5 linked regions of the Macaca fascicularis genome follow. The protein of the gene in region 1 interacts with the protein of each later gene in a pairwise test. Links are inferred from orthologs where the notes say so. Each region holds a gene or a part of one and is shown in the gene's direction. Other genes may lie near its edges.

The links. The genes of interacting proteins can lie anywhere in the genome.
Region 2: the proteins of HNRNPC (region 1) and KPNA2 interact in binary tests that used the Homo sapiens proteins (3 or more experiments, as listed by UniProt). The link is inferred for Macaca fascicularis from reciprocal best matches to the Homo sapiens genes HNRNPC and KPNA2.
Region 3: the proteins of HNRNPC (region 1) and KPNA3 interact in binary tests that used the Homo sapiens proteins (3 or more experiments, as listed by UniProt). The link is inferred for Macaca fascicularis from reciprocal best matches to the Homo sapiens genes HNRNPC and KPNA3.
Region 4: the proteins of HNRNPC (region 1) and KPNA4 interact in binary tests that used the Homo sapiens proteins (3 or more experiments, as listed by UniProt). The two-hybrid records come from large-scale screens. The link is inferred for Macaca fascicularis from reciprocal best matches to the Homo sapiens genes HNRNPC and KPNA4.
Region 5: the proteins of HNRNPC (region 1) and RBM41 interact in binary tests that used the Homo sapiens proteins (3 or more experiments, as listed by UniProt). The two-hybrid records come from large-scale screens. The link is inferred for Macaca fascicularis from reciprocal best matches to the Homo sapiens genes HNRNPC and RBM41.

What each region holds. Positions count from the first base shown.
Region 1 is NC_088381.1:88,893,804-88,897,303, reverse strand, and holds part of HNRNPC (heterogeneous nuclear ribonucleoproteins C1/C2), read left to right. Parts: intron 1-1,732; coding exon 1,733-1,847; intron 1,848-2,439; coding exon 2,440-2,487; intron 2,488-3,500. UniProt on the Homo sapiens protein: Binds pre-mRNA and nucleates the assembly of 40S hnRNP particles. Interacts with poly-U tracts in the 3'-UTR or 5'-UTR of mRNA and modulates the stability and the level of translation of bound mRNA molecules. Single HNRNPC tetramers bind 230-240 nucleotides.
Region 2 is NC_088390.1:74,459,201-74,463,300, forward strand, and holds the start of KPNA2 (importin subunit alpha-1), read left to right. Parts: upstream 1-1,300; 5' UTR 1,301-1,404; intron 1,405-2,681; 5' UTR 2,682-2,704; coding exon 2,705-2,779; intron 2,780-2,928; coding exon 2,929-3,066; intron 3,067-4,100.
Region 3 is NC_088391.1:28,951,568-28,955,694, reverse strand, and holds the start of KPNA3 (importin subunit alpha-4), read left to right. Parts: upstream 1-1,327; 5' UTR 1,328-1,386; coding exon 1,387-1,455; intron 1,456-1,605; exon of another isoform or gene 1,606-2,506; intron 2,507-4,127. UniProt on the Homo sapiens protein: Functions in nuclear protein import as an adapter protein for nuclear receptor KPNB1. Binds specifically and directly to substrates containing either a simple or bipartite NLS motif.
Region 4 is NC_088376.1:63,526,380-63,530,663, reverse strand, and holds the start of KPNA4 (importin subunit alpha-3), read left to right. Parts: upstream 1-1,484; 5' UTR 1,485-1,774; coding exon 1,775-1,843; intron 1,844-4,284. UniProt on the Homo sapiens protein: Functions in nuclear protein import as an adapter protein for nuclear receptor KPNB1. Binds specifically and directly to substrates containing either a simple or bipartite NLS motif.
Region 5 is NC_088395.1:113,706,579-113,710,571, reverse strand, and holds the start of RBM41 (RNA-binding protein 41), read left to right. Parts: upstream 1-1,193; 5' UTR 1,194-1,248; coding exon 1,249-1,256; exon of another isoform or gene 1,257-1,595; intron 1,596-2,090; exon of another isoform or gene 2,091-2,240; intron 2,241-2,995; exon of another isoform or gene 2,996-3,077; intron 3,078-3,930; coding exon 3,931-3,993. UniProt on the Homo sapiens protein: May bind RNA.

The sequences.
Region 1 (3,500 bases):
AAAATTAGCAGGCCGTGGTGGCGGGCGCCGGTAATCCAAGCCGTTGAGGCAGGAGAATTGTTTGAACCCGGGAGGCGTAGGTTACAGTGAGCCGTGATTGCACTCCAGCATGGGCAACAGGGCAAGACTCCGTCTAAAAATATATATATATATGGAATTTGTATATTTTGGGGCATGTGTGTATTAAAATGAGACTAATTTTAAAGCAGTATATATGAAAATGGAGGTATTGTTGACTGAGTGCTTTAGCACGACTGGGAAGTTAAAAAACTGAATTGGCTTTCTGACATGGGGTTTTTAGAACAAGGAGAAGATGAATTCTTGTTTGGAAGGTCATGGGTGGCAGGGTAGGTAGCTGGGCTTATGTGTTACAAATTGTATTTGAAAACTAGGGTTGTTTCCCTTTGCTCTTTTATTTTTTTGATATATGTAAAGGTTATTTAAGCAACTTATGAATTATTCAGAAAGCAGTTGTTAACCCCGGATGTTTTACATGCAGTACAGCTAATCCTTACTTATAAGGGAAATCTGAAGTTGCCTTTGAGGATGATTTGAGGGTGTCACACTGCACTATATTGTTTTGTGGATTGGCGTATATTTTAATATATTTGTAATAATTCGGAATGAACTGAACCATTCTTGGAAAGGTAACCATTGATAGTTTTCTCTTGTAATAGTAACTGAGTGAACAGTCAGTGCCTTGAATGGGGAGAGTTGAGTTAAAGTGGGATCTGAGGGTGGAGAGTACCAAAGACAGACTTAATGTTATGTCTCAGGAACACTTTAGTGGTACAGAACAGAGTGCAAATACATAGAAGATGAAGTCTTAGCCTTGTAAAAATTTATGAGCCTTTTTAATATTAAAAGGAGAGATGAAGCTCAGCATGGTAGCTCACACCTGTAATTCCAGCACTTTGGGAGGTCAAGGCAGATCACTTGACCCCAAGAGTTCGTCCCTATGAAAAACAGAAAAATTGGCCGGGCGCGGTGGCTCAAGCCTGTAATCCCAGCACTTTGGGAGGCTGAGATGGGCGGATCACAAGGTCAGGAGATCGAGACCATCCTGGCTAACCCGTTGAAACCCCGTCTCTACTAAAAAATACAAAAAACTAGCCGGGCGAGGTGGCGGTCGCCTGTAGTCCCAGCTACTCAGGAGGCTGAGGCAGGAGAATGGCGTGAACCTGAAAGGCGGAGCTTGCAGTGAGCTGAGATCCGGCTACTGCACTCCAGTTTGGGCGACAGAGCGAGACTCCATCTCAAAAAAAAAAAAAAAAAGAAAAAGAAAAACAGAAAAATTAGCCAGCGTTGGTGGTGCCTGCTACTTGGATGGGAGGATCACCCAAGCTTTGGAGGTCTAGGCTGTATTGAGCCATTATTGCATCACTGCACTCCAGCTTGTATGACAGTGAGACCCTCTCTTAAATAAAATAAAAAAAAATAGGAAAGATGAGTTGTTTTGTTTCATATTTTCTAATTTTTATGTCTGTGATTTTCTAAACTTTGTATTAGCTGGGCATGGTGGTGCCCGCTTGTAGTCATAGTTACTCTTGAGGCTGAGGCAGGAGAATCCCTTGAACCGGGCAGTGGAGGTTTCCGTGAGCCTAGATGGCACCATTGCACTCCAGCCTGGGCGACAAAGCGAAACTATGTCTCAAAAATAAAAAAATTAACTTTGTAGTTTGTTTTACCTGGATACAAAGTTGTCACTAAAATTTTTGCTTTTGTTTTTCAGATATTAACCTGGCTGCAGAGCCAAAAGTGAACCGAGGAAAAGCAGGTGTGAAACGATCTGCAGCGGAGATGTACGGGTCAGTAACAGAACACCCTTCTCCGTCCCCTCTACTCAGGTCCGGAAACTTTATTATTTATAACTGCATTGTGTCCATCAGTGGGCATCTTCTCTATCTGTTTTCTGGATGTGGGGAGGGTTAAGTGTACTGTGTTTTATCTGTGTATAAATAAGGTTTCATTATTTTTGTGTTAATATGTCTCTCTTTTGCCCTAGCGAAAATTACTAGAGAATTAAAAATCCCTGAGGTTTTTGCTATTGATGTTTAGGAGTAGTTTGATATTTATAGCATAGCCTGAAATACTTCTACAGGATCGTTGAGCTTCTAAGACACCAGAGAGTAAGAGAGGGAAGAAGTGTGGTATAAGAATGTTTAGTTTACCATTCTGTTTTTCAGTGTTCAGTTTAACTATGTCGTATGTGGAAATCTTAGTGAATTTTAACCTGAATTACCAATTTGACCACTACATTTCCAGTGGTCTAAGGTGATTGGAATTGAGTGATTTATTGTATGAATGATTGGGGATCATTCAGTGCTAATCTTGTTGATCTATCTGTTGTGGTTTATTTGGCATGGTTCTCCCCTCACCTGATGTTGTGAATTAGTAGCAGCGTTTCCAAATTAACCCTTTTCGGTATTTATTTTTCAGCTCCTCTTTTGACTTGGACTATGACTTTCAACGGGACTATTATGATAGGTATGTTAAAAGTGTTTTGCCTTTCTGCTAAACAGCTATTAATGAGAACCATTTTGTTTTTCTAGTTTGTGGTGATGAACATCAAAGATGTTTCCAAACATACTCCCTTTCCTCCAAAAGAAAAAAATAACCTTAAGTAGATTATTAGGTAGGGTGATAATGATTTTAATGCATTATTTCATAATGCCTGTTTCTACTAAAAATACAAAAGAATTCGCTGAGTGTGGTGACTAGGGACTGGGTTATGGGTGGCTTTGGGTAATAGATTTAGAACTGATGATAGCAAATACTAAACAAGAAATAGAATGATGTGCTTAAGAGTGTTACCACATTGACAATCTGATATCAGTCTCAGTTAACATGAAGTAAATGTTAGACTTATTTGGCTTGTCGTGTTTAAACTCATGCAGTATATGTAAGTATATGGAGCAAACTATTATATGCAATACACTTTAAAAATGCAATATATAAAGCGCATTACTTTATATGAAGCATAGTACTACTATTTGTCTTAGAATACCAGTATTCTAATCATTAGTATTTTAATGTTATTGCTGTATATAACAATTCTGTCTCTGATTTTGGAGTAAAAATTACTGATTGACAAATGCTTAACGTTTGAACTGAGTTAATCAGTCATCCATGGGAGTTGTGTAGAGGAATCAAGTCAGCTGTTAAATACCATAGAGTATACACTGAAAATGTCAGACATGAAAGTATACACTTTCTGTTTGAGAAATAACGTCATAGAATATGGCAGGTAGTCATTAAAAGGCCAGAAGAGTAAGGCCTGAAAAAGAATTTAAATCCAGATTGTAAAGGGCCTTGAATGCCCTATTAAGATGGTGCGGTTGAGCATACTTAATGCATCATCAAAATGTTTTTTTTTTTTATTTGACATTAGCGGTTTCCTCAGATTGTTGTTGTTGTTTTTTTTTTTTAAGATGGACTCTTGCTCTTGTCACCCAGGCTGGAGTGAAGTGGCGTGATTTTGGCTTACTGCAACGTCCGCC
Region 2 (4,100 bases), on another chromosome or scaffold:
ATTCTTGCATTTAGGGGGATGGGATTATGCTGATTAAGAGTAGGTGCAACCCTTTATGAACTCTGGCTGCTATACAATGAATGAGGCTGGCATTAATGACTGCAAGAATGGACAAATTTGGTGTTTGAATTTATTTATAGTAAGAAATAAACCATGACAACTTTTCTAAAATGTAATCTTTTAGAACACAAAAAAATTGCAGAAACAAAAATGGCCCATAATCCTGATGCTCTGTTGACCATCTTTGTTTTGTTTCTTCGTTTGAGCATATAGCAAAAAATGCAAAATTCAGAAATGTGTAACGAGCATAGAATGTTACTGGAACAATTGACAAAACTTGAACACAGACTACATACTAAACAACAGCATGAAATTTCAGTTTTTCTGAATTTGACGACTGCAGTGTGGTTATGTAAGAGAATGTCTTTTCTTAGGAGATACACCGTGAAACAGAGGAAAAAGGACATGATTCTGAAACTCTCAAATGTTTCAAAAAGTAACATATTGAAATCACACATAGGTACACATGTGCATAGGTATACATATATATGTATAGAGACATTGCAGTAGCAAATGTGTTAACATTTGGCAAATCTGGATAAGGATTTGCAATTCTGCTGCATTTGAAATTATTTAAAAATACAAAACTTGAGTGTTTGGAGAAACAGGAATAAGAAATATTTTGTTACTATATTTGCGGCTTCTATACAGTCTTTTACGACGCAATTGAAAAAAAAAACTAAACTAAAAAATATAACATAAATCTTCCCTCCCATAGTGGCCAGAAACCCCTGCCAAGTTCTTCGGATATCGTAACAGGAAAAAAATGCAAAGCAATATGTCTTTCTATAAAGATTACTTATTTACTAATTATCATTTTTTAATTTTCATGAAGATCAACAACAAAGTTTTTTTAAAATAATGACTTTGAGAATCATTTTGCGGTATTTGTTCAAGGCTCTCGCCCAGGAAAACGCCCAGGGACCATGCGCGCTTCAATCCAGTGGAAACACGAACGGCCCAGGGACCGCCCCTTCGCGTTGCTTGACGGGATCTGGAGTCCTCCCGCTCCGCCCGGCCAGGCGCTCGGGAACCGCCCGTCTGCTCCCTCATCTCGCGATGCCATCCTCCTTTTTTTTTTTTTTTCCCCCCCTCCCACTCGCCCCTAAGCCCTATGACTCCCTCCCCTCTCAACGTGTTTTTCAAATCCACCAATGGGCACACAGCTTGGGCTCGAACCAGCCAATCGGAATGCGGAGTCACCGGGAAATTTAAATCGCGCCGGCCGGCTGCACGAGCCACACGGTCTTTGAGCTGAGTCGAGGTGGACCCTTTGAGCGCAGCCGTCCCACAGCCGCTGATTCCCCGCATCGCCTCCCGTGGAAGCCCGGGCCCGCTTCTCAGGTACAGACTCAGGCGGCGGCTCGGCCCGAGCGCTAACGGTTTGCCCGCGGGCGGCGTTCGCCTTTGGGTGGGGGGAAGGAGGCCCCGGGTCCACGCCGAGCCTGGCTCAGCCTCCCGCGTTGTCTAGGCCTCGGGGGCGACTGGTTCATTGACCAGGCGGCTGAGTTTCGCGGGGTCTGCGGGTTTAGGGCGCCGACGCTCTTCAAACGGCAGCGGAGACCATAACGCGTCGCGGCCGGGAGAATCGGAGCGAGCCAGGCCTGAGGGCGAATGTCCCGGGAGGGCTCGTGGCGGCCCTGGCCTCGCTTCCCCCTTTCTCGTTGCATCTTCCCCGACGTAGGGGCAGGGGCAGGGGCTGGGGGTGGCAGTTGGGAGCACTGTCTCTGACACTTTGGCCCCGGGGTGGCTGTGCCACCAAGTCGTAGGCGAGCGTAATGAAAGCAAAGATAGCAAATTGTAAGGAGGGCTTTGACTTTTGTCGTCTTCTGAATGACGCACAGCTGATGTCGTCCTAATTAAGTGCATTCGCTCCTAGTCTCTGGAAATGCAAATCAAATATGCGACATGCGGCACTGCATTTTTAATGTTGACCATAATGTAATGATGAAGCAAATTTTTTTTAGTTTTCGAATCTGCACCTATTTTGGCCAAGTAAAGACAGTAAAGTAGTGCGAGCCTCCTGAGAATCTGAATTTATTGCCCTGGCACATAATTTTTAGCTGTAAGTTAACTTGGTTCCCCTGCTTTGCCTTGGATTAACTATTAGGGACTCTGGAGTATCGAGCCAGGCTGTCAGAAACGGTGGACACACGTGGCTAGTCCAAATTGAAATACGCTGTAAGCTTAAAGTACACAAAAGACTTCAAAGATAGAGTATGGAAAAAGAATGTAAAAGATGTCAGTTATTTTATATATTGAAATATATATGTTGAAATACTATTTGGATATGTTGGGTTAAGTAAAATAAATTATTGAAATTAGTTTCACTTGTTTCTTTTCGCCTTTTAAAAAGTATGGCTACTAGGAAGTTTCAATTTATATAGCTTGCATTCTATTTCTGATGGACAGCCCTCTCCAGGAAGTCTCAGCGCTTCAGAGGGAAGGGGGACAGTTCCCGTTTGGGTAAAGCTATTTCATAGTGCTGAAAGCATGATGATCCCCCCTCTAGTATACAGGTGTGGATTCAGTAGATGCTTGATAATTCAATTCTTATTTGGTACTATTATTGACAAAGGAAAATGATAAAGGAAATATTTTTCTCCTCGCCCATCTTTTAGCTTTCTCCCTTTGTCTCATAACCATGTCCACCAATGAGAATGCTAATACACCAGCTGCCCGTCTTCACAGATTCAAGAACAAGGGAAAAGACAGTACAGTGAGTACCTTCTGTTGCTTTCCTGTGGTGGTGTTTAAATGGGAGGACATTTGGAAAGGGGTGAAAACTTAGGGATCTTTTTAAAAATACCCTCACTTAGCAACAAAAACTGATGTGATAGGTGAAACGGCATGTTATCTTTTCTCAAGGAAATGAGGCGTCGCAGAATAGAGGTCAATGTGGAGCTGAGGAAAGCTAAGAAGGATGACCAGATGCTGAAGAGGAGAAACGTAAGCTCATTTCCTGATGATGCTACTTCTCCGCTGCAGGAAAACCGCAACAACCAGGTAAAAAATGTATTTTGGTTTATGAGTTACGTGAAATCCAGAAAATCAGTAGGAACTTTTCTTAGAAATTCCAGTAAACTTAACATTTTTAGCCTTAGGTTGTAACTATCTGTGAAGATCTTTTTCTCTGTTCCCAATTAGTAATTGTCTTCTTTCCTGCCTTCCATAATCCACTGAAGCTGATTTAGGATCTTCCTTTAGCTCTGACCTTCCTTCAGACTTCCCTGCATTTCTAGCTGCTAACTGGGTACCTTGACCTGACCACTGTGTCCAGAGCCAACCAGTTTCTGGTTTATTCTTTTTTTTTTTTTTTCCCTAGACGGGGTCTTGCTTTGTTGCTCAGGCTGGAGTGCAGTGGCACAATCTTGGCTCACAGCAACCTCTGCCTCCTGGGTTCAAGCAATTCTCCTGCCACAGCCTCCTGAGTAGCTGGGATTACGGGCACGCACCACCATGCTTGACTAGTTTTTGTATTTTTTTTTTGTTTTGTTTTTTTGAGTTTCCCTCTGTCGCCCAGGCTGGAGTACAGTGGTGTGATCTCAGCTTACTGCAAGCTCCACCTCCCAGGTTCACGCCATTCTCTTGCCTCAGCCTCCCAAGTAGCTGGGACTACAGGCACCTACCACCCTGCCCAGCTAATTTTTTTGTATTTTTAGTAGAGACGGGGTTTCATCATGTTAGCCAGGAAGGTCTCTGATCTCCTGACCTCGTGATCCACCCGCCTCGGCCTCCCAAAGTGCTGGGATCACAGGTGTGAGCCACTGCCCGGTCTGTTTTTGTATTTTTAGTAGAGGCAGAATTTCACCATGTTGGCCATGCTAGTCTTGAACTCCTGACCTCGTGATATGCCTGCCTTGGCCTCCCAAAGTGCTGGGATTACAGGCGTGAGCCACCAGGCCCTGCCCGTTTTTGGTTTATTTCTGCCTTTTTTGGTATTCTCTCTTTTTTTGTATTTGTCACCAGCTTTGTTCAGGACTTTCCTTCTGAAATATTTACGGTAGCCTCCTAAGTTATCATTTCCTCCTTTCTGTGCC
Region 3 (4,127 bases), on another chromosome or scaffold:
GCCACCACGCCCAGCTAATTTTTGTATATCTAGTAGGGAAGGGGTTTCACCATGTGGCCCATGGTTGGCCACACTGGTCTCGGTCTCTTGACCTTGTGATCCGCCCGCCTTGGCCTCCCAAAGTGCTGAGATTACAGGCGTGAGCCACCGCACCCGGCCGAAAGCAGTTCTTTATCAGTGCAATCCATCCAAATTTCCCTGTTTCATTCCTTCGATGCCCCCGGAGGGAGTGGGAGTGCTACACAGGAAAGTGTGCGACCCAGGGCTTGGCTGCTGCCTGAAGGCTAAGATTATGTGTGGTGGTAGAACAAGAAGTGTTGGGGGCATGGAAATACAGGGACTGCCAGAGTGAAGGTTGCAGAACCGGGGTTGGGAGGATGATGAGAAACTGGGCGACACTAAAGCGCCACTTCAACAAGTATTTATTGCGTATCTACGACGTGCTAGGCATTGTTTTGACACTAGAGATTCAGCAGTAATTCAACCAAAGTACCTGCTCTCATTGAGCTGAATTCCCGTGCGGGCAGCCAGGTAACGCACGTAAACACTCGTATCACGTAGATACACATGTACATGTCAGCTAGAAATAAATGCTATTTATAAAACTGAAGCAGAGCATGGACACAGCGAATGAAGGTGGCTGCTATTTGGGAAGACCTCCAAAAAAGCGAGACTGCGAAGCACCCGCGGTTGTTCTTTTTCTGATTTTCTACCTACCCGCAGCGAGGTGCGCTCCCAGAAAGCTCCGCCCTCTTCCTCCTGATAGGGCGCAAGGTGCCAGGGAAGCTCCCCTCTCTTCCCCGCCCAGAGGCCGCCTTGTGGGGGCGGAGCTTTGCGCCCAGCAATCTGAGCGCGGCGCGCAAAAAGCCGCGCGCGCAAGGGTCCCGGCATTCTCCTCGTTCGCACTAGGCGTGGAGAATTACCCCAGGCGGATCGTGGCATGCTGGGAACTGTAGTTGACGACCGCTCCCCCGACCCGCGCCTGAGGGGCGGTAAAAGCCGCCAGGTCCGGCTCCATTTCTGACACCAGACTTGCAGCACTCAGGGGTTGTGGAGAGCCCTAGCAGGGAAAGAGGGCAGGGTCATCCCGAGAACCAACTGGCACGTCCAGCCCGGCGAACGCCCAAGCCGGTCGCCGCCCCCGGTCACGTGTCGCCAGCCTCCACGGGCGCGCGCCGCTCTCAGCACTGTTCCCGCCCCACCCGGCCCGGCAGTCTGCCCGCGCCTCCCCCGGCGCTACTGCCACCTCGCGCTCGGAGGCGTCACGGAACGTGCTCTCCTCTCACCCTCCCCCCTCCTGCTCTCCTCCTCCTCCCCCTCCCGCGCCGAGACTCGCCGCCGCCGCCGCAGCCGCAGGAGTAGCCGCCGCTGGAGCCGCGCGCAGCCATGGCCGAGAACCCCAGCTTGGAAAACCACCGCATCAAGAGCTTCAAGAACAAGGGCCGCGATGTGGAAGTGAGTGTGCTTCCGTGGTCTCGGCCCGCCTGGCCGCGCCGGGCCGGCGACGCGGGGAGGGGCGGGGGGCCGGCGCCGGGCTGGTTCTCGTCGGCTTGTGGTCGGCCGGAGTTGGCCGCCGCCTCCCGTCACCGCGGCCCCGGGTTGGGCGGAGCGGGCGGTGAGACGCGGGCCGGGCTGCAGTCACCCTCCGAAGCTGCCGGCGCGGCGACCGGGAAATGCCGGGGTTTTCGGCCCCGTCACGCGGGCGCGGCCTTGTGTCGGCGAGGAGGGGATGTGGAGCTGAGGCGGGGTCCGCGGGCCGGGGCCGCCCGAATGAACGGGGATGCTGCCGCCCCGGCCCGCCGACCGCACAGCCGAGGGGGCGGCCGCTGCTTGCGCCCGCCGCTGGTGCAACCTTCCGCCCGGTGCAGCCCCCTCTGCGCCTCCCGCGCGGCTGCACATGGAGCCTCGCCTCTGCCGGTCCCGGCTGCTACCTTCTGCTAGCCGGGCCCAGGCGGGCGGTGGCGGCCCGCAGAGGGGGGTGGGGACCAGCCGGGTAACTGACTTGTTTGAGGGTGATGGATGGGGGAGGGTAGGATGCGCCAGGACCATTTTCTTATATTCCAGTGCTCGTCTTTGGACTAGTCGTGCCGAGCTGTTCTAGCTCATACTCCTGCAACTGCTGGCATTTGGAGCGAGCTGAAGGTGGACAATAGTTTGCCATCTATTGTGTTCAGGCTTCGGAAAAGAGGTTGTTCTGACCTCCGCTCATAGGACTTGTTTTCTTAGCCTTTCTTGGAGTGGGGTGTGCATAGAGTGATACAATTTCTTTGACACGTTTTACTAAAATAAATTGGATACATAGGGTTCATACGTCCTCTTACGTACCTCTTGCTCCAAGCTAGTAGAATTTCCAAGTGGTTGCAAAACTAAACATTCATCGCGGTCACTCAGTTAGTTGCTACTCAGCATGTTGCCATTGTCTCATTAAGGTGACATTAGCAGGTACTATTTGCAAACTCGGCTTGTTGAGGCAGCGCTAGAGGTCTCTCTGCAGCTACTGAAAACAGTAAGTATAATGCACAAACTTCACTGGGACCGTGACCTTTGGATTTGTTAGGGGGAAAATAGTTTTAAGGCCACAGCCTTCTTTTCTAATACTAGCCGACATGATTTGCAGTTTTGTAATTTTTGGTAAGAAGCTGGTGTGATTAAGAGGTGTGTATTTTATCCTATCTTAAGGAAGGTTGTGGGGGTAAATACACCATTCAGCGTTCTATTTTGTAGAGAAACAGACAAACTCAGGCCGTTTTTCAGAGCTACAAAATTAAATACTAGTAGGAAAAAACCTAGGGAGATATCCGTGGAATTCCCATTTAAATGAGTCAAAGATCATATATTCTTTCCTGGTCATGGTTAAATATCCTTTGTGAGAAATACATCTAAGCAAAAGTAAAACTTGGGAATAGACACAAGAAATTTTGGAACTGCCTCCTGTTATCGGTCCACTTGATGACAAGTGTTAATTTTGAACTTTTCCCATTAGGAATTTTTCTTGACGCCTACCCTGTTCCAAATAAAAATGTATTGAAAAATACTCATATTGTTGGTACAGAAGAACCAGTAACATTCTTCCTTCTCTTGGATATTGGTACAGGTTTTTGTTTCATTGTTTACCTCTATTATTGTGTTATGGTAGCTCAGTGATACTTAGTAAGGACTCCTGCACATAATAGGTACAAAACAAATATTTGCTGATGATAAGAATGTAACCAGTGACTTTTAGATGCATGAAAAAGAGCATGGTTGCTAAGCCATTCAGCCTGGTGTTGGTCACAACATTACATTTCTCGGGACTCTACAGGGTAACTAACACATGAAATAGACATTCAAATGGTAGTTCTAATGTGACAGACACTGCGTTAAGAGCTTCATGATACCTTATTTAATCTGTGTAACAAGTGTATGAGTTAGGTGTGGCATTATCCCCACTTTACATGAGGAAAGTATTTTTTGAGACGGAGTCTTGCTTCTTTACCCAGGTTGAAGCGCTCAGGCACTCCTAGCTCAGCTGCAAGCTCAAACTCCTAGGCTCAAGGAATCTTCCCACCATGGCCTCCCAAGTAGCTGGGACTACAGGCAGACACCATCACACCTGGCTAATTTTTTAGTCTTTTGTGGAGACAGGGGTCTAGCTTTATTGCCCAAGCTTGTCTTGAACTCCTGGGCTCCGGTGATTCTCCCACCTCAGCCTTCCAAAGTGTTGGAACTACAGATGCTAGCCATCACACCCAGCTGGAACTTTAGGTACAAAACCTCAGTGTGCTTATGTAGCCTGTGCATGTCACTCAGTGGATATGGGTATTATTTATTCACTGATTGTCTATGGGTATCTATCAATGTTAGGTCTTGGGGATAAGGAATAAGATGCAGTCTGTACCTCAAGGAGTTTACAGTCCAGTGGGGGTGATAATTACAATGCAGAACAACAATTGTTACAGTGTAGTATTCCGAAAATGCATGCCAAAAAACTACTTGGAGGTGAGCAGAAAGGGAAGATACTCTGGTTGATTTCTAATGAATGAATGGGAGTAAGCTGAGTGTGAAGGATGAAAGAAAGGTGGCCAGGCAAAGAGCGGGAGAAGACCGGTGGAAGAAAGGGGCATTCCAGACCAGAGGGAGCAGTAATT
Region 4 (4,284 bases), on another chromosome or scaffold:
GAACATCATCATTTGTATTTAAGATCTGTTCTAAATTTATATTCAAGTTAACCTTCAGTGTGAGTTATTCCCAGGCACAGCTTCTGTTGTCCATAGCCCAGTTGATGGTCTATAAAGTATTGACGACTTTAAAGGTACTACTCTGCTTCCTAAGTTTTTACTTTCCTTTCCCCCACTACAATATCCTCTCCAAAGTGATTCCTAAAGTACTCCGGCTCTTTTCATTACCTCTCCCCCAAAGGAAACTCAGTTGTTCACATCTGTTAAACCCACTGACTTCTTCCATTTTAACTTAAAAAAAAAATTCCCCTCTGTTGGCTTTAAAAGTGTTTCCCTAAGAAACATATGCATTTTAAACATTTATCTCTGCACGTTGTTCTGCTCAAAAAATACACTAGAAAGGACCGGGAGTCAACGATTCTGAAGGAGTTTGTATCAGGGTCTCTTCTCCCTGCCTAGCCAAGTTTAAACACACCCAACGCCTCGATTCCTTGCTTCCGACCAGAGTTGCTGCTTTACATATCCCTGGACATTTGAGATGTTATTCGTTGATATTTCAATATATTTTAAGATAATTTTCCATTTCTGTTTTGTGAAATTTTTGAATACGTTCTTTTGTATCTCGTGTCATTTCTGCCTCTGGTAATGTTGTTGTCCCTGGTATCCCTGGAATTCATTTCCTTTCTCAACAGACAATATTCCCTGTCAGCTGCCACGGGCTCCGCCCTCCAGAAGTTCATACTTTGTGGTCAAGCAGCTTCTTTAACTTTCTAAGACGAATTACCTAGGAAGTGCTATTGTCCAAGGATCACCAGCTCTGCCTAAATTCCTACCTGTTGCGGGCGCTTAGTCACAGAAGATAAATCAGATACGTCTACTGGGCCCTTTCCTTTTCCACCCAGCGTTCCTGTCGCTTTCCGCTGAGCCTCCTCAACTCACGTCATCCCTGCAGGTCCTGGCCCCCAGACTCGACCCTGGACGGCAGGGAGCCCCAGCCCGGGAACGGAGCTGCGAGCGTCCGACCTGGGAAAGAGCGAAGCTCAGATCTCTCTGCAAAGCGAACAGAGAGCGCAAGGAATGCCCAGGAAGACAGGGCGCGCCCGGGGAGAGAAGAACGTTACTTTAACGCAGTCTCGACCCTGGACCCCTGCATCTAGGGCTTCCCGGACGAGTGATGCAAAACAACTCGCCCTGCTGCGTTCCCCGGCCTCTCCTTCCCCTTGCTGGTTTCCCCTGAAGTGTACTTCTCTGTCGCTTCCTCCCCATCTCTCCGAAGGCACGTGGTCCTTCCCTGCCTACCCCAGCCGCACCCCTCCCGGCCCCGAGCCGGCTCCTCCCAGCGTCGTTCGCTTCCCCTTTCCGTTCGCTCTTTCCGCCCCGGCTCTCCATCGCCCCTTCCCATTGGTCGAACGCACCGGAGCCTGGTTGGCCAATGGGCGAGCTGGGCTGGAGGCGATGGGCGTGGCCGCAGCTCCGGGGCCCTCAGATCGAGGCTGCCTCCCCCTCTCAGCCGGCAGCACATTCCGCCGCCGTTGCCGCCGCCCGGCCCCACAGTTGTCTTTGCCGGAGCTGCAGTCGCGCTGGGGTTAGGGCGGGGGGGCGGGCGGGGAGAGGAGAAGGCCGCGGCGGAGGCAGGTGAGAGGAGGAAGGAAGCGGCGGCGCGGCGAGCACAGCAGCTCAGGCGGCGACCCGGTTCCTGGGAGTGTCGGTGCGGCGCGGTGGTTGGGGCGGATCCCGCGGGGCCCGGGCGGGGGAAGGAGTCACCGGCCCGGCCATGGCGGACAACGAGAAACTGGACAACCAACGGCTCAAGAATTTCAAGAACAAAGGCCGCGACTTGGAGGTAAACTGCTGGACGACGCCGGAGGGGTGGGGGCCGTGGGCCTGGGGCCGGTCTCCGCCGGGACCCCGAGTGTGGGGAGTAGGGGCGGGAGCCGCCTCCGGGCCTCGGGGAATGGCGCTGGGGGCCGGCCCGTCCGTGACGCCTCTGCTAGCGCGCCGGGAAGTTTATGTCGGGCCTGCTCCGCCTCCGCCGGGGAGCGAGGTGCCCGGGTACGGCCGGCGCGGCCTAGGCCTGCCCGGCAGAGCCGGCCCGGCGCGGGTGCGAGGGGTCGGGCCGCGCGGCGGGGAGGCCGGGCGCGGCGCGTGCGGAGGAGGCGTGCGTGTGCGGTCGGCGCTGCCCGGCCCGGGCCGCGGCCCTCCCTGGCAGCGGCGGAGATTCCGGCTCTCGCTCGGGCACCGACGTCTGGCGCTGCGGGAAGGAGGGCGGTGGGGGTGGGAGGGTGAGCGTGTGGCGACCGAGTGGGGCTCTGAACTTCCTCAGCGAGGCCTGAGGCGTCTCCACTTAAAGGCATTTTTTCTGGTCTTCCCGACTCCCGCTTTACCCCTGCCTCCCCCCAATATCCAAACTACAGGACAACTTCTCCGTTGAAAAAAACACCCCCGGCGTGAGAGGCCATCCTGGTGATGCTAACAGTGCCTTCCAGCGGCCTGTGTTTTACTCTGGATATAGCTGATTCAAGATGTGGCTCACGGTGTGCCCTCTTCCAGGCAAAGGATACCCCTTATTTCAGCTTGTCCACAAATCTCTTTACCCCCTCCTGAGAGGAGACCACCAGCTGCATTCTTACATATAAAGTCCAAAGGGTTATACAAAGCTGTCATCCTCTAGTCTACAGTATCCTTTCCCTCCACCTGCTGGTGGTGGTAGTGGGGGATGGGGTGGGCTAGGGAATGGCACCATCACGTTTGATTATTTAAAAAAGAAAAAAAAAATCATTGTCTTAGATACAGCTGCTCCCCAGATTGTCTACATGGGGCGTATGGTTTAAATACATGCATTCACACACGCATACCCACACACCCCACTGAGATTTTTGATAGAAGACTTCTTCCCTTCAGCTTTAATAGTTTAGATAAATAGATTTATTTTAATACTTCCCTTCTGCATCTTAATCACGAGTTTAGCTTTTAGGGAAAGTGGTCAAGCAGTATTTTTTATGTTGTTCCTCGGTATGTTTTCGTAATGAAATCTTCAACTTCCCATGACATTTCTGAACTTGAGCGTTTGCTTGACTGAAATATTTTTTGGGCTTTTTACAAAGCTGTTAATATTATCTTTAAAGTAGTTTATGCGTTTTAGTGGGTTTCATAATTTGAGGGAGTACTAAGTGTCCAGGGCTGTTAATTCTGTGGTTCTTTTAAGGTTAACATATTACCGTTGTGATCCCTTTTTTAATACAAAGATGTCACATCTTTATTGAGATAATTCGCATGCTATAAAAATGAGCTGCTTAAATAACAATGATTTTTCAGTAAATTTACTTGTGGTGGTGAAAATGTTTTTTACTAATATGAATACTTAGAATGAGAAAAAAATCACAAATGATAAAACTTAAAAACTGATAATTACCACAAAATTACAGAATCCAGAAAAAGAGCAATTAGGTGCTTGACAGATCCCTGTAACCCTTTTTTCCTCTACATTTCTGGCTTCATTTTTCTAGCAGCTTCATTGAAATGTAATTCACATGGCATACAATTCACCCACTTAAAGTGGCTTTTAGTGTATTCGCAGTTTTGCAGCCATCACCACAATCAATCTTAGAACATTTTCACCACGCCAAAAAGAAACCTGTACTCATTAACAGTCACTCTCCAATTCCCAACTACCCCAGCCCCAGGCAACCAGTTTTTTGTCTTCTTAGATTTGCCTATCCTGGACATTCCATATAAATGGAATTGTACAATTTGTGCTCTTTTGTAACTGACTTCTTTCCCATAGTGTAATGTTTTCAAGGTTTATCCATGTCGTAACAAGAATGTATCAGTGTTTCATTTCTCCTTATGACCTAATGATCCTCCAGCTCATGGATATACCACATTTTATTTATCCGTTCATCAGTTAATGAACATTTTCATTGTTTCCACTTTTTTAGCTATTTTACATAATACTGCTAAGAACATGTTTGTGTGGACGTATGTTTTATTTCTCTTGGCTATATGCCTAGGAATAGAATTGCTAGATCATATGGAAACTGGCGTTCAACCTTTGGTGGAATTGTCAGACTTTCTGAAGTTATCCTTATTTTTTAAATTGATGTTTCCTCCTACCTCATATCTTTTAGCACTTTAGTCAAAATCAGATTAAGTGCTGAGGCTGTATTAGAAGAAGATTGTGATGTGTGACTTTAAAAAAACAAGTATACATTGACATTAACGAGGGTGTTTGTTTGTTTGTTTAGAAATTCATAGTGCCTTATGGTTGTCCTCTGGTGACTTTAA
Region 5 (3,993 bases), on another chromosome or scaffold:
GAATGATAGTAGGTTAGAGGATATATAGTATTGAGGACTCTATTCATAACTGAATTGCTGCTTTAAAGGGAATGTACATTTATGATTTTAGTAGTATCCTCATTTGCCCCCAATAGATGTTGTACCAATTTATATTCCTACCACTAGTGTATTGAGAGCGCCTGTTTCCCCACAATCTCAATAAAACAAGTGTGTTATCAAACTTTTGGATCTTTCCCAGTCTGTTAGGTGAAAAATGGTACTTTAGTGTACTTTTAAAAACAAACTTTAAGTTTTAGAACAGTTTTAGTTACAGAAAGGTTGCATAGTACAAAGTTCCACATACCTGCAACTCAGTTTCCCTTGCATAACTCTGGTACATTTGTCACAGCTAACGAACCTTGTTATTAACTAAAGAGCATAGTTCATTCACATTTCCTTAGTTTTTACCTCATGTCTTTTTTTCTGTTCCAGGATCCCATTCAAGATACTACATTACTTTAGTCATCATGACTCCTTTGGTTCCTTTTGTCTGTGACAGATTCTCATGTTTTTGATGACCTTGCTATTTTTAAGGAGTACTGGTAGTCAGTGCACTTTAAAATTTGTGAGATTGGACATCTTTTCATACACTTAAAGACATTTGCATTTCCATTTCTCGGAACTAAGAGCCCATGCTTTTAACCACTATACTATACCTCTTTCTTGATTCACCATAATTATCAGTAAAACATTTGTGAACCTGAATACACACAGACTTCTGATTCTAAGTGGACAAAACTCTCAAGTCTCTGTTACAGATAGAGGAGAACCATTAATACAGGTGATATAGTCAGACTCGTGTCTGATGACTCTGGCTACATCATGAAGGATGAAGCAGAGGCTCTACTGGAAACGGTAGGTAGGCTGGATAAATCCTTGAAAGAAAAGCAGTGTTGATAAGAAGTTCAAAGGAAATTACAGAAGAGCCAGGAATTAGTGGTAATGAATGAGAGAATCAAAAAGTCAAAGGTGACTCGGTTTTTTGAGCTGGATATTTTGGGTCTTATTTTGAACCTAGATGAGCAATTCAAAATCAATATTTGGACAATGTTCAGCATACCTGTCACTCGAGACCTACTTTCTCTTTCTGTCGCCATAGCTCTGTGCTACTACAATTCCCAGAGCCCCATGCTCCATCACAATCCCCTTAGAGTCCGCCGCGCGGAGTTCTGGGACTTGAGGTCCGCGGCCTATTTACGCAAGTTGGAGGTAGGGGCCTGTGGAAACATGAAGAGGTAAGGACTTGTCTGAAGAGCAGGCGGCAAGGGGAGCTCTCTTCTACTTTTTCTTTTGAAAATGGCTTCAATTGCTTTCTGGTTTGGGTATTGCACGTTCTCGGGATGCGATTTCATGGGAGCGGGAAGACGACAAAGGAGACGGGAGGAGGGGAGACGGGCTGAACAGGCCTGCAGAGCGAAGGTCAGGAAGGGCTGCCACCGGGCCCGGCTGCTGTGGGTATGCCCTCCCGGCATGGGCCCCGGGAGCTGGCCAGGTGCTGCGGCCTCGTCGTTTCACACGGACCCAGCTAGGCAAAAGGGTTTGAGGCTGACCAATTCCCGGCGCCGGAGATGAAGGTACCTCGGGCCAACCCCTCCTCGTCCTCCCCTACCGCCACCTCCACCTGAGAAAGGCTCGGGGCCAGCGTATTTATTTGCAACGTCTGTGTGTTGGAGACTACTTGCTCGGGCCCCGAAACCATATAGCGCTTTCCAATCTTAAAGTAAAGGAGCGGTACTTTGTTTCTAAATGTAGAAGGAGAGCACCAAAGCGGTTGGATTTTTGGGATGGGGGGAGGGGAGGTGGAAGGCATTGCTGGGCTCAGTTCCCCTTACTGGTCCTGAGGTAAATGGCCGCTTGAGCCTAAACGGCCCGAGCCTCCCAACTATTGACAGGCTTAAATTAATTTTTAGATTCACGCTGCAAGTAGAATCATCACTCTGGAATAGTGCAGTGCGTTTAAAATTCTTACTGATATGTTTTCCTGCACTGTCAGTTCCTTGCATCTTTTAAAAAACCGTTTTTGACTTTCCCTGCCTGAAACTAACCTTTAACGTTTTTTTTTTTTTTACAGTATCTCATCCATGCAAAATAATGTATAATGTATATATACAGCTTAAAGAATAATAAAGGTTCGCATCCACTGCAAGCTTCAGAAATAGGACATTGCCAGTCCCTTAGAAGTCTACTGTGTCTTTTCCCTCCCTTCGTTCCCCTCTGAGGTGACCACTATCCGGAATTTTGCGTTACTGATTCCCTTGCTTTTAAAAAAGCAAATAGTTTCTAGTACATATGAATTTATCCCTAAACAAAATGTTCCTAGTTTTATCTATTTTTCAACTTTATACAAATGGACACATATATTAATTTTTCCGTGATTTGCTTTATTTTTTTACTCAACATTTCTTTTTGAGATTCATGTGTGTTGATGTCTAGAAACTTTAAACTTAGTAAGAAGTTTTGGGATTCTAAGTAATAAAAAATTGAGATACTTAAAATGAATTTTTTAACACCTTGGGCCTAAAGATAATTTAGAATTTTCCAAAATAGGGCCAAGTCTTTCTAGAGCCTGGGAATATTGTTTTTAATTATGGGTGTTAGTTTTTCTAGACTTTATCATAACCTCACTGGGAAAGAGCTATTTTACAAGGAAAGTATTTGATATTTGGTTTTTTTCCTGGAGTTAATTCATTTTTTGTATTTTTTTAAAATAATCTGTTGTTTCATGCTTAAATGGCCCTGTTATTTCTTTACACTCTAATAAGAGTTTTTAATTACTTAGTTAGTAGATCATGCTAGCCATGGCCTAGATTTCTACACAGTGGTGCCCAGGCTATAAAAATGTTAGGACCATCTTCATATTTCTTTCTGTATTCTCTCCTTGGAGATCTCCTCCTCAGAGCTCCAGATCTTGTTATCACAGATGACTCAAGATTTATACATTCAGCCTCGGACTCTCATCTCTCATTTTCCCTTTAGCCAGTCACTCATGCTGTCCCTTCAGAATCATGTATTTGAAGTACTCCTGATACTTCATGCTGGCGTTTCTATTGTAAAAGGTACTAGACTCAACATGACTAAAACAATACTGACTTTCCCTTTCCCAAATCATTTATTCCATCTAGAGCTTTGGCTTTCCTTCATTGGTACCATTGTTCTCTCAGTTACACAGACTGAAATTTTGGGATTATCTTTGACTTCCTTGCCTCTGCTTCCAAAAGTCCCCTCTCATCTAACCCTTTCTTTCCATTTTCACTATTACCATTTCAGTCTAGACCTTCATCACTGTATACTTCACTAGTTTCATAACTAGTTCTTGTTTCTTCCCTTTGAATCTCTATGGCATATTATAACCACATTCATCTGTCTAAACTATCACTTGCACTGTGTCACTTAACTGCTTGATAAATTACTACTTCTCATTATCCTTCAGTATATATTACTGTCCCTTTGTACTCTCTTTTCCTGTTTTCCTTTTCTTCATCACACACTTTTCAATGTCAGCGTAAGAGTACCTTTCTGAAGTCTTCCTTTACCACCTTTTTCTACCAATTTTCTCTTCTGTGAATTTCTACTAATTTGGCCTATGCTTCTATGTGTTATTATTCTCTCCTCCCACCGCCGACACAACACGTACATACATGTTTTTTCTCCCTAAATAGATTGTGACCTTCTTAAGGATAGAGACTATGTCTTAAACACCTTCGACTTCCCTCAGTACCTAGCATAGCGCATTCTGTGTAGACAGGTATTTAGTAAGTGTTCATGGACTAAATGGTAAAGGGCAGTGAATTGTTGGAGAAGTGTCTTTGAATAAATGGGGTCTCTAATGGTAGATAATATAGATAAGGAATATATTTTGAGACTCACAGTCTCTACTGTTTTCTGTATATATTCTTATATCTACTCCAGGGTAAACAGCTGTGTGAAGAGTGATGAGCATGTCCTGGAGGAGCTGGAAACAGAAGGGGAGAG